Linked DNA regions of Tribolium castaneum. The protein of the gene in region 2 purifies or fractionates together with the protein of the main gene of each other region. This does not show direct contact. Links are inferred from orthologs where the notes say so. Each region holds a gene or a part of one and is shown on either strand. Other genes may lie near its edges.

Region 1 (2,337 bases), on a different chromosome or scaffold from region 2:
TGAAGTAAACGCGGTCTGAAGTTGGAATACTATTTAACCCCTTCGCTTTATTTTTAATTTTCATGAGTTGTACTTTGTTTGCCAAATTTTTACCCTTCTTTTTCGCCGCGATTAAATTTTGCTCGATTTGTTTATCAACCGCGCTCTTAGCTTCATTGAACTGCCTCACAGGCGCAGCCAGTTTCTCCCTTTTTTGGGCGAGAGTTTCCTCGTCTGGCTCGCTACACTGGGTGATATGCCGGTGTTTTATACAGAAATGTTTACGACAAGTGGAGCAAAGCAAAGGGACCAAACTAGATTCGTGACAATTTTCGAACGAGCATTTGAACACGTTTTGAATTTTTTGTGGTTCTACCTCAACATTCGTTGAGGTTTCACACACTTGGACGTGTTTGTTGAAATGTTCCGAGCAAAATTGTTTGCCGCATTTGCATTGTAAAGGGAGAAAATCTAACTGCTGGCAGTTTGAATGGGCGCATTGCTGACCTAAATTGGGGAGCTCCATCACTGGTGTTCGCTTAGTGCACTGAGGGCAATGTCGGTCCACTTTTGTTCTTGCTCCTGGAGGGTTAAGTGGATGTCTCCGGAGTCGGCCTCGGGGTCGGCGAGCTCGTGCGTGGGGACGTTGATATCGTCGTGAGGCAGCTTCTCGGAACGCCACTTATCGTCAATTAAATCAACAAAGTAACCATCAATAGTCACTGAACTGTCCATTCCTAGAAAGTGGGGTTATGGCAATTTTACACAAAAAACCTAACAAGAAATACAAATATTCTGCCTTAGAATACAGCTGTTAAAGGCACTTACTAAATTTGGGAGCACAGTGATTCAGCAAATTGCCAAAATGAACACAAATAAATTTACCTCCAAACGTTTTTTCTAGTTTCTTTTAGTTTTGTTCTAAATAATTGGCGACGCTGTGCCTGGCGCGAATTTAAATTTACTGATATTTATTTTAAGAATCAATATTACGCAGAAGACTGATTTGATACTGCGAGAAATGGACAATATTCAAGCAGCGTTGAATAAAATCAACAGAAAGTGCTACGTTATTAGGCATAAATTGAAAGCAGAGTTGGAGGAAATGGCAATTCGCGAAAGTGAAATACAAGAAATCAAAGATACGTTTGAAAGAACATTTATTACTAACGAATTATCAGAAAAGTATTCGCAAAAGAATCCAGCGGATCGTTTTTGTCGGTAAAGACATCCCCACTTAAAAAACTAATTTTAAGACTGTGGTGTGCCGGACAGGTTTATGGACGAAACTTTTAAAAAAACTGGCGCTACGATTGATAAACTGCGCCTAAGGACGAGCTCTCTAAAAGTGCAGTACCAGAAAATATGCGCTCAATTAACGCAGAAGAAGTTACTGGGCGAGCACTTGCAAGAGGTGGATTTTGAGCAGCTCGAAATTGATAATAAGCACTTGAGGGAGAAAATCGATAAAAGGAATTTGCTGCTTCTCGAACTGAAAAGAATGAACGGCCGCGCGAATTTACTGCTGAGCAATCAGAAGAAGCATCTGCTCAAGAAAGTGACCGATCTAAAAGTGTATCAAGACACAATCAAAATGCAAGAGGAGTTGGTTCGGAAAATCGACGACGAATGTGAAAAGGTTTCCGAAGAACTGGAGGCAACCAAGGAAGAGCACGATAAAATTAAAACCAAGAGTGAAAATTACGAGGTTCTTGCTCGAATTAAGCAAGTGAGTTTGGCTATCGTACCTTAGGTTCCTTCTGTTTTAGAGTATGTGAAAAAGAAAGCTGAGTTGGGCTTGCTGAAGAAAAATCTAAAGATTTGGGAGAGACGGAAACAAATCAAAGAAGTATTTGTGCGTGCAAGTGGTGTTCGTTTTTAATTTTGTTTTCAGATGGCACTTACTGCCTCTGTGAGGGAAATGAAACACGCGACGGGCTTACCAGCTGCCAAATCTTCTTGGTTTATGTAAGTCTGTGCCGAATTTGATTCGGTTTGAAACTTTTGTAATTGCAGTAATCCTCATGATATGCATCGCGGAAGAGGGTCAGTTGAAAGCACATTTGAGTTTATGTTTGAACGCAAAATGAGGCTTTCGCTGATAATGCAAAAGAAGAAAAGTCGTCGTCGCAAGACGCAGTAATGTAATTATTTTATAAAAATACAAAAAACGTTGAAATAATATGTGCAACTGGTCGGTCGTTTATTACTACCAAAAAAACTAAAACATGTAGGTATAGGAAATGGCAACAGAGAACATTGAATTGTTTGAAATAAATTGCGGCAATATTACTAAGCTTTTAAATGGAAATATTAGATGAAAGGCTGCATTTTTGATAAAAGTTTGTTTGAGCTTAA
Region 2 (4,424 bases):
CCTGTTCCTCCTGTAGATAAAAAACGTCGGGTTCGGGCTCAGTTATGATCCCGTGTGATTGCCAGAAACTCAGTTTGCGCCGTAAAATTGTCGACGGAACGTGCATTACTTTACTCAAAGCTTCCAAAGACCAAGTATCTTGAAACGAAAAAATAAGTCGCTTAAAATCTTGATCTTTTTGACTCACTCTGATCTTGGAAGTGCATCAAAATCGTCGCATGCACCGGTGAAACCGACAAATTCAAAGTCCTATCCGCCAATTCAATTTCAAGATCCACAATTCCTAAATGATTTTTCCAACACAGGGTTCTGCTACCTTTTAAAGTTTCAAAAGCACCAGTGTAACTCTCCATCTGTTTCACCAATTTTTCGTGGAGTTCAAGCTTCTCGTCCTTGAACGCTGGCCAAAACTGTGCGCTTAGGATCATGGCAGACATGGGAATATCATCGTCTGAATAACTCAAGTCTTGCTGAATATGTTGATTGATTCGCTTCGAATCGGCGATATCTTTCAACATAACTTCGCAAAAGTGGAGTTGGGAGTCACCAAAGCGCAACTTCAGGAGTTCAAGATAACGAATTTCTTTCTCGGTGTCGCAGGAGTATTGCGACAAAAGACGATCGGCTAATAAGGTGCGGTATTCGTTGACGAACAGCTCCTTACTGCCGTAGACGTTGACAAGCATTGAGATGATGTCAGAAGTGCGGGGAAGTCCCGAAGATTTGCCTTAATTTTTCGAGGGAATTAGTTATTTATATTATACGTGGGATAAGTCTAATTATTATTGGGAAGGCAGACAAAGCTTATTTGGTTTATAATTGTTGCTTACGTTTCGTCAACTTTTTGGGCTTCTTGAGGACAATAAATAATCATGTAAAATGTAAATGGAAAAAATCAGTTGTCGTTATTTAATAAATCGTTTAAAAAAGCAATTTTTCACATAAGCAGGTGGTTTACAGCACGACCGAGGGGAGAGGAGGGGAGGACATGAATTGCAAATATAGGAAATTAGCACCTAAACAAGTTAATAAGTACAATTTTTTTGTAACAAATAACTCAAAAATAAATATTTTTTTATAATTTAGTTTGCTGGTTGGTGACTAAGCACTAGAATTATTAAATTTAAATAAACTGTCACCGTAAGAAGAAAAAATCATTTGTCAAAAGTGACTATTCTCTGTTTCAAAACTATGGAAATGCCAACGTCGATTTCCCTCAAAGCGATAAAAAGACACTTACTGGGGACGACATCTACCGGATCTGGGGTCCACGTTTCCCAGTCTTCAACCCCCTCATCGACCGAAATGTTCTCGTCCACTTGCACGGCTTCGCCCCGGACCAGCTCTTCAGCTAAATCATTTGGGCCCTCTTCAGTCAAACTACCCACCACACACCTGTATTAAAAATTTCGCCCTATTTCGGAATTATTGTACACAAAGTGCCCCTTAATTGTGGAAATTTGACACTTAAATGTCATTCAAGGCCAACTACACTATTTATTGTCTTTCCGAAATTCCAGTTAGCTATGAAAATTTGACACTTAAACGTCAAATATGCCAACTAGACCATTTTTTTTTAATTATTAAACCTTATTGTGTCTTCCCGACTCCTTAAATACTGATGAACCGGTTGAGTAATTGTCTCTAGAAGCAGTCCACAGGGGTCCAAAATCCGCAATGACCGAATTGTAGCCACGTAAGCCGTCAGAACGTCAAACGTGCTTACTCCTGGATGTAATAATCTTGTTTCAATTGCTTTTTGCAACGACCGAGTTAAGTGGGGTTTTAGGTCGGTTTTTGGAAGGCATAGTCGAAGGTCGTCAAGGGCCGGAAGAGAATCAGGATATTCTGAAAATATTTGATGACAGACTGCCACAAAAACAATAATTTTTACCAATTATGATGTTAAATAACTGATCTATTCGTATTTTGGTGTAAGTGTTGTATAAATAATTGATTAGTTTTTTGTCAAACTCATCCATGGCCTTGACTGCCGAATTATGAAAGTAAATTTTTTTCAACCATGAAATAACAACCGTTTGAAGCCACTGAAAATAATTCGTATAATCGATTCAAGAAACGACTGATTTCTACCTTTTCTAGACTCTCAATGTGCGAATTATCAAAATTGTCTTTACAGATTTTCTGGATATGTGTCTGAATGTAACTATAAATTAAATCAGTGAGAGCCTGGCCAACTAACGGTTCCAATAAAGTCATCTTGCCCAATTTCCTAGACACAAATATTTGAGTAAAAAAATAAAAAACAAAACTATTTACTTATTAGTTTCTTCAAACATTTCACGACAAGAACAGGAAAATTCCTCTTGCATGCACACAACACACTCCCCACTTGTGCTATTTTCTTCCTCCGGGTCCTGCATTTTAAGCGCCGTTTCGTAAAAATTTACTATCATCCATTCATGATCAATGGGGAGTTGGGATAACAAGACGGCCCTAACGATTAATTTTAAAGCTTCATGCAGGCAAGTTTGATTGTACACTGGTTTAGTGAAATTGCTTGCTTCTCTCAACAGTATCAACTTGTTAATAATTAAATCGAGCTGCACATAATTGTGAAACAAAAATTTAACCACACTGTAGAACTCGTGAAAAACTGCCGCCTCGTTCTCGGTTTTCTTAAAGTGGGACCAAAAATCTGGGACTATTTCCTTCCTCAAACGTTCTTCTATTTTAATTATGACCAAATCCTGAATTTGCTGTGTTAAATTGAGCCTTTTGATAATGCTGATTGCCTCAAAAGGGGCAGAGTCGAAATCATTATCAGGGATCTTTGAAGGACTTTCTAAGATTGGAAAAGCTTCTTTAATCGTAATCCACGCACTTTTTAAGTCCAGGTTTTGATTATTCATTGTAAAAATAATAATTGCTGAACGTAAAAAACTGACAAACTTTTAGGTTCTGTTCCTAGAATAACACTTTTATAGAAGCGGAACATAATGGTTGGCAATGAATTCCTAGCTGAAGCCATCTAGCCGCATCATCACGTACTAAAAATGGCGCAAATTTAAAATAATTCCGATTACTTTATATTTTTTTAATTTTTGCTCACGTCAAAATGATGCCAATACCTTATCAAATACAATTATTATGAAAATTTCTTAATTGTATTTGAAAAGGTGGATCCACAGACAGCACAGATGGAAGAATTTTACCCAACATGACACGATCACATTTAATGTTAAAGATATTTATTAAATCCATTAAGTTTACGAAACTAATAGTCGTCACCGAATCGATGATAAAGACATACTTGCAATCAGCCAAACTGGCACCGGTCTGGCACCTTATGTTTGCAACTTCTGTCTATGGGAGTCTCCTCGCAGTGTGACTCACTTGCGGTTCGATCTCAAAAAACTCACTTTTGGGAAAAACGCACCTATCTACGTAAACCTTCTGGAGCTCATTACTACGTTATATTTTTGGAGATCATGTTGTTCCTAACCGATAGTAGGCAATAGTCTAACCTAAAGACGACACTTTGATCCACTATAATAATAAAAATTAACGTGATATTATAAAAAATAAACTCAAATTAAAATCAACAAAAATGGCGATTCAAGTAAAAAGTGAGTGAAAATAAAAATTATTTTTCTAATGTAATTTTCAATTTGCACAAGAAAATTCATAGTGTACGGTCATCAGGGCACTCAGAGGAATCGTTTGGTGTAAGTTTCAGCTTGAAAATCCAGAAGTAGTTAAAGTAAAAAATTACCAAGTTATACTTTATGTTTTATTACGTGGTAAAGTTAACAACACACGTTAACATACCCTTTATAAACGTTTAAACACCCTTTTTCATGAAAAGGTTGACACGAGAAGTGCATTTTTCAATAAATCTCACTGAAATTTATGTCGTTGACTCAAGGTAGATTTGTCTGTCCTTAAACATGTTCAATAATAATTAATAGCGCTCTAGAAGAGCAGGAAAGCACACAAAAAACATTAAAGTTAAAATTTAACACTTCAGAAGAGAGCATAATACACCCTAACCCTACTTTCTGAACTTTTGTCCTTATCTGGCAATAGCACATAATAAAGGTAGAGATTTCGACCCTAAATATCCTATCATAACGCTCTGAAAGGGCAGAGATGGAGACAAAATTCATAAAAGTGTAAATTTTGTCATTTTCGGGTGACAACATAACCCTACTTTTGAAACCTACCGAATTTTCAACAAAACGAAACAAACAAACAATGTTGCTATACGCATTGCGATACCACTAATTTTCGCACCAAAATTTCACATTGCCAGTTTCTGTTTAAATAAAAACATGCATTTTTATTTTTCCATTGACTGCATGCGAAACTTTTATAATTTTAGACGTTTATAGGCAAATACATTTGTCATAATTAATTTTTTTAGATCAATGCTGTTCTATTTTAAATAATTCTGTGTATGA
Region 3 (4,250 bases), on a different chromosome or scaffold from region 2:
AGCGGATCAGGTCCGTCTTCATGCAGTTCAAAGAGAATTGGGCAGAAACGGACAACTGTACTGCACTGTTTTCCAGATGGAAACAAACAAATTGGACTGAAAAAAAATTAACTAATTAATGAAGCCGATTAATAATTTTTATTCTGGCGTGTAAATTTGAAATAATACAAAATTAACTTTAACAGCTCAATAAAATTACGCTATTACTTACCTTCCCCAGTTATCTACTGCAAAAAGCAAGGTACAGTTGAGAATTTTTTTACAATCCTCGATTTCAATGCGACCTGAAGGAACAGCCAGGAGAGAACCATCAGGTGAAAAATCTAAGCGTCTGAAAAATGACTTGAACGTGTCATCATGAAAATATTTCACTTCTTTGTTGTGAAGATAATGATCTTCCGGCACCGGTAATAGACCCTTGTGCATTCTAGCCTTCACCTGTTTACCGGTATTTTCAAAAATGCGGCAGATGCGGTCGGTACTGATTGTGGCCAAAAACTGACCTCTGGGATCCCACGACACGCCCTTCAAATTTCGAAAAATTACAAACACTATATTTTTATTTAGCAATAATTTACTTGGACAAATCCCTTGTGGTCGGTTAAAATCTGTTCATTTTTGCCTTTCTGAAAATCCCACAAAATGGCAGTGTTGTCTATAGACCCCGATAGAAGTTTTGAGCCATCGGGTGACCAACACAAGTCGTAAATGTCTTCCTTGTGCCCCCGCATTACTTTATGCACTATCCATGTCTCTTTATCGTTCGTTTCTCCTTCCAGTAGAGGGATATTATCGGTTTTAAGTTGCCAAATAATGATATTTGCGTCGTCATCAGCTGTCGCGAGCTGCTGCCCCCCTGGTGACCACCGAACTGAATTCACAGCTCTTTGGTGTCGTGTTAGATCAGACAAAGCCTCGATTTTAACACTACCGTTTTCGTTTATTGTTAATTGCCAAATCTGAAGCACAGCGTCACAAGACTTAATTTTTTTAAACCGAAGCTTACCAAAACATGACAATCGGCACCACCAGTTGCTAACCTATAAAATTTCTCCAAAACGGGTTGAATATGAACACTCAAGACGGGCTCCCGGTTGTGCCATGATATTTCTGGTATCGAACACTTCATTCTACGTTTAGCGGCTTAAATTGTGAAATACGAATAGTAGCAGACACAAACAAGGCGTTTTTTACACAAAACAACAACCCAATAAAAATATTACGACCATTTGGCGCCAATTTACTAGTCTCCTCGTTGGGGATTTTGTTTTTACAAATGTAATTTTTTTGTATAAAAATGAGCAATTCTATTGAATGAATTGAATTAAATTACAAACCTTTTCGTGAACGAATATAAATTAACACAAATTAATAAAAAATTAAGCAAATACTCTATTTAACAATTAAATACTCAAGTAAAGTCTGTAAATTCTAGTAAATTTAGGTTTCTTTCATTTAGATTGCCAGCGCTGTCTGTTAAGTTTGTGAAGGTTAGAGGAGCCGATTCGGTTTAAAAAAAGCGTTTTTTAATGAAAAATAGTCGTGATTTATGTTGGTTACCATTCTGATTCATTATTGAAATTTAGCAAATCTGGATGAGAAAGTAGAAACAATGATTGCTGCCTCAGATCCACAGGTTCGTGGGTGCTCTCACTCAGTCAATATTTTGCGTAAACTTTTCAGGAGTTTGTTCCAAGTGGACGGCAGCAAACATTGAAACACCCAGGCCCCAATGGGGTGCCCCCGCAAAAAAATTTAGGCCAAACTGAGGACCTACTCCTTGATAAATTTGAAAAGGTTTCAATAAAAGAGAAAAAAGACAGTGAATGGTGGATTTTGCGGAAAACCCCCTTGTTTGAGTCTGCGGCAAGTTGGTGCTACGGGACAAAAGACAGTTCTTGTACTAAAGTTAGTGTGAATCAGGACTGTAAAAATGACAAGTCTTACAGCTATCAAAGCTGCGATCATTCACAAAAGACTAGCAAGAGAATATCTGAGAGTTTTTCGAAATTTTCACTCAAGCATGAAAGCTTGGCTCATGGGGGTACGTGGGACCAATTTTTTGCATTTTTATTTTTTTTTTGATTCCCAAGGGCCAAGCTATGAGGGTTCTTTTGCCAAAAGTCACGTCAGTTTTATGGAGGATGAACTCTATGTCAAGGGACACACGGCAGTGTGGTCCCGAGGGCTAAACAATTGTGACAATTTAGACAACGGTAGAAAAACAATTTGTGCTTACACTTCCCTTCTCCCTATAAAACACGCCGCTTGGTGCACTTTCCACTGCGAGCACCCCAGATATGAAACCGACGCTTTTCCTTTTTCTAACAAAGAAGAGGAAACTAAAGGCGTGCCGGTTCCTGCAATTTGCATCATAAATGCCCATAATATTCACGTTTTCACCCAAAAAGGTGAAGATTTCGTCACTGCTATCCCGTTCCAAATTAGCAAAATGTGGAATACGAAGTACGGAATTTTTCTCGAACGGGAAAACGAAGGTTTGCATTTTGCATTTTTTTTCATTTATTAACGCAATCTTTAAAGGCCACAATTCTACAACGTATTTTGAAAACAGAGCTTCGCTCTATTCCTTAGCTTTTCCCTTTGATGAGGTCTGTCCTGTTGCAATAAATGTTGGCACACATATCCAAGTCCTGAATAATAATAGTTTTAAATTGGTTTACACCAGCGAAAATCCAAGCATTTGTATGATTTACGATACTCAAACCAGGCAACACAGTGTTTACGTTATTAGAAAAGTAACAATCAACGAAAAGGTAGAGTTTGCAAACAGGATGAACAGCACTTTCCCTTCAGCCACCAGTTTATCTAACAGGGTAAAAGAGATTAAAAGTCGCACACTTGCGATAATTAATAATTACAGTTGAAAAGTCGTCTTTCAATGTGGGATTGCGGAAAAAACTCGAATTATTTAAGCGTCCCCAGCCCTATCAATAGCCGGCCAGGAAGCGTAGCAAGTTTTTATAACCAAATGCACCACTCGAAATCGCACAGCTCAATGGCCACAATCAGGTTGACCCATTTTTCCAAATTTTATAATACGAACTAATTATAGCAAGTTAATCGGTTTTGTTACTGAATTATACTAAAAGTGTAATTTGGGTCTTTATAGTCGATGCCAGTCACCTGCCACTTCCTCTATCGGAAGTCCGTGGTTGCAGAGAGCTTCGCGTTTGAACACTTCTATTCCAAGTGGGCCCAGTTATTGTGCACCAAACAACTGTTCGTTTTTCGACTGTTCTAAACTGATGTCTTACCTGCACACAAACCCTCTTATTTGTTTGGACCACCTATGGACTGATCCGAATTTGACTCAGTAAAGTTTTTTTTATTTAAAAAATATTCAATGATCAAGTGATTATTGTAGAGATGATAACATGTCGAGTGCCACATCTAAAGTATTTTTGTGCGACGACTTGACACACCAGTGGTACCTTTGCTACATTTTACCAGTGAAGTGCCAGTTGTGTTTAGTCCAAATCGACTTTACAGACCCGAGTAACATTCGCTTTGGAATGGTTAACAGTTTGAGTGTCAAAGACGCAGTGCCTATTCCTGTGAGTATCACACATTGAATTTTTTCCTAATTGTAATTAAGATGTGCCACATGTTGGCCGTCCTGGAACACAACGGCAACGTCAGCCTCTACTCTGGCCTTACCCTAGTGGGGAAGCTGCACATAGGGGGCACCCTCGTCCAGCACACCCCCTCGCCCTACGTCCGTCGCAACCTGGCTCAGTTTAACTCACCTTTCCCGAGGTATTTCCCAATTAAAACCTCCAAACCGCTCAACTTTGCCATTCCAGACGGAGCAGTCTTTTGCCCCATTGCAAACAACTAGACCCCAAGTTTGACGACCATTTGCTATCACCGGTGTTACCCGAGACAACAAACGTGTCTAACATCCTCCAGCTGAACTTCCAGCACGAAAGCAATTTGCCCAAAGCTGTCCTGAACGGTTTACGTGACCCGATCGAAAACCGCATCACTTTACGATACTCTGATGGCACTTACTACAGAATCACTCTGCCCCCCTTGACTGCACACCCACTAATTGAAAATTGTGTAATGGCGTTAAAGCAGTGTCTAAACCGTGACACCATTTCGGTGGTTTTGACCAGATGGTACGCCACTCGGAACGCACCAGGGGCCCAAGACATGAATCTCGAGCAAGAATGGAATGCGTTTGAAACGCTGCTTTTAGGTAATTTGGTTTCGTTCTAAATCGT

Evidence for each region. The genes of interacting proteins can lie anywhere in the genome.
Region 1: the proteins of mr (region 2) and anaphase-promoting complex subunit 13 purify together in Homo sapiens (affinity purification with mass spectrometry; 3 studies listed by BioGRID and IntAct, counting the BioPlex papers as one, with this or other methods). This does not show direct contact. The link is inferred for Tribolium castaneum from reciprocal best matches to the Homo sapiens genes ANAPC2 and ANAPC13.
Region 3: the proteins of mr (region 2) and shtd fractionate together in Homo sapiens (co-fractionation; 8 studies listed by BioGRID and IntAct, with this or other methods). This does not show direct contact. The link is inferred for Tribolium castaneum from reciprocal best matches to the Homo sapiens genes ANAPC2 and ANAPC1.

The regions. Positions count from the first base shown.
Region 1 is NC_087396.1:19,126,151-19,128,487, forward strand, and holds anaphase-promoting complex subunit 13, read right to left. Parts: upstream 942-2,337; 5' UTR 808-941; intron 717-807; 5' UTR 715-716; coding exon 505-714; downstream 1-504. Other genes in the region: uncharacterized protein LOC100142251, read left to right, coding at 961-1,200, 1,255-1,687, 1,733-1,828, 1,874-1,947, 1,996-2,120; AN1-type zinc finger protein 1-like, read right to left, coding at 1-505. UniProt on the Homo sapiens protein: Component of the anaphase promoting complex/cyclosome (APC/C), a cell cycle-regulated E3 ubiquitin ligase that controls progression through mitosis and the G1 phase of the cell cycle.
Region 2 is NC_087394.1:29,189,107-29,193,530, reverse strand, and holds the start of mr (anaphase-promoting complex subunit 2), read right to left. Parts: upstream 2,969-4,424; 5' UTR 2,874-2,968; coding exon 2,281-2,873; intron 2,234-2,280; coding exon 2,095-2,233; intron 2,049-2,094; coding exon 1,895-2,048; intron 1,849-1,894; coding exon 1,590-1,848; intron 1,396-1,589; coding exon 1,241-1,395; intron 728-1,240; coding exon 188-727; intron 139-187; coding exon 1-138. UniProt on the Homo sapiens protein: Together with the RING-H2 protein ANAPC11, constitutes the catalytic component of the anaphase promoting complex/cyclosome (APC/C), a cell cycle-regulated E3 ubiquitin ligase that controls progression through mitosis and the G1 phase of the cell cycle.
Region 3 is NC_087397.1:4,714,695-4,718,944, reverse strand, and holds the start of shtd (anaphase-promoting complex subunit 1), read left to right. Parts: upstream 1-1,450; 5' UTR 1,451-1,612; coding exon 1,613-1,636; intron 1,637-1,683; coding exon 1,684-2,044; intron 2,045-2,093; coding exon 2,094-2,498; intron 2,499-2,544; coding exon 2,545-2,837; intron 2,838-2,884; coding exon 2,885-3,033; intron 3,034-3,133; coding exon 3,134-3,337; intron 3,338-3,388; coding exon 3,389-3,578; intron 3,579-3,619; coding exon 3,620-3,780; intron 3,781-3,827; coding exon 3,828-4,225; intron 4,226-4,250. Other genes in the region: Caf1-105 (chromatin assembly factor 1 subunit B), read right to left, coding at 1-96, 212-525, 579-959, 1,007-1,129. UniProt on the Homo sapiens protein: Component of the anaphase promoting complex/cyclosome (APC/C), a cell cycle-regulated E3 ubiquitin ligase that controls progression through mitosis and the G1 phase of the cell cycle.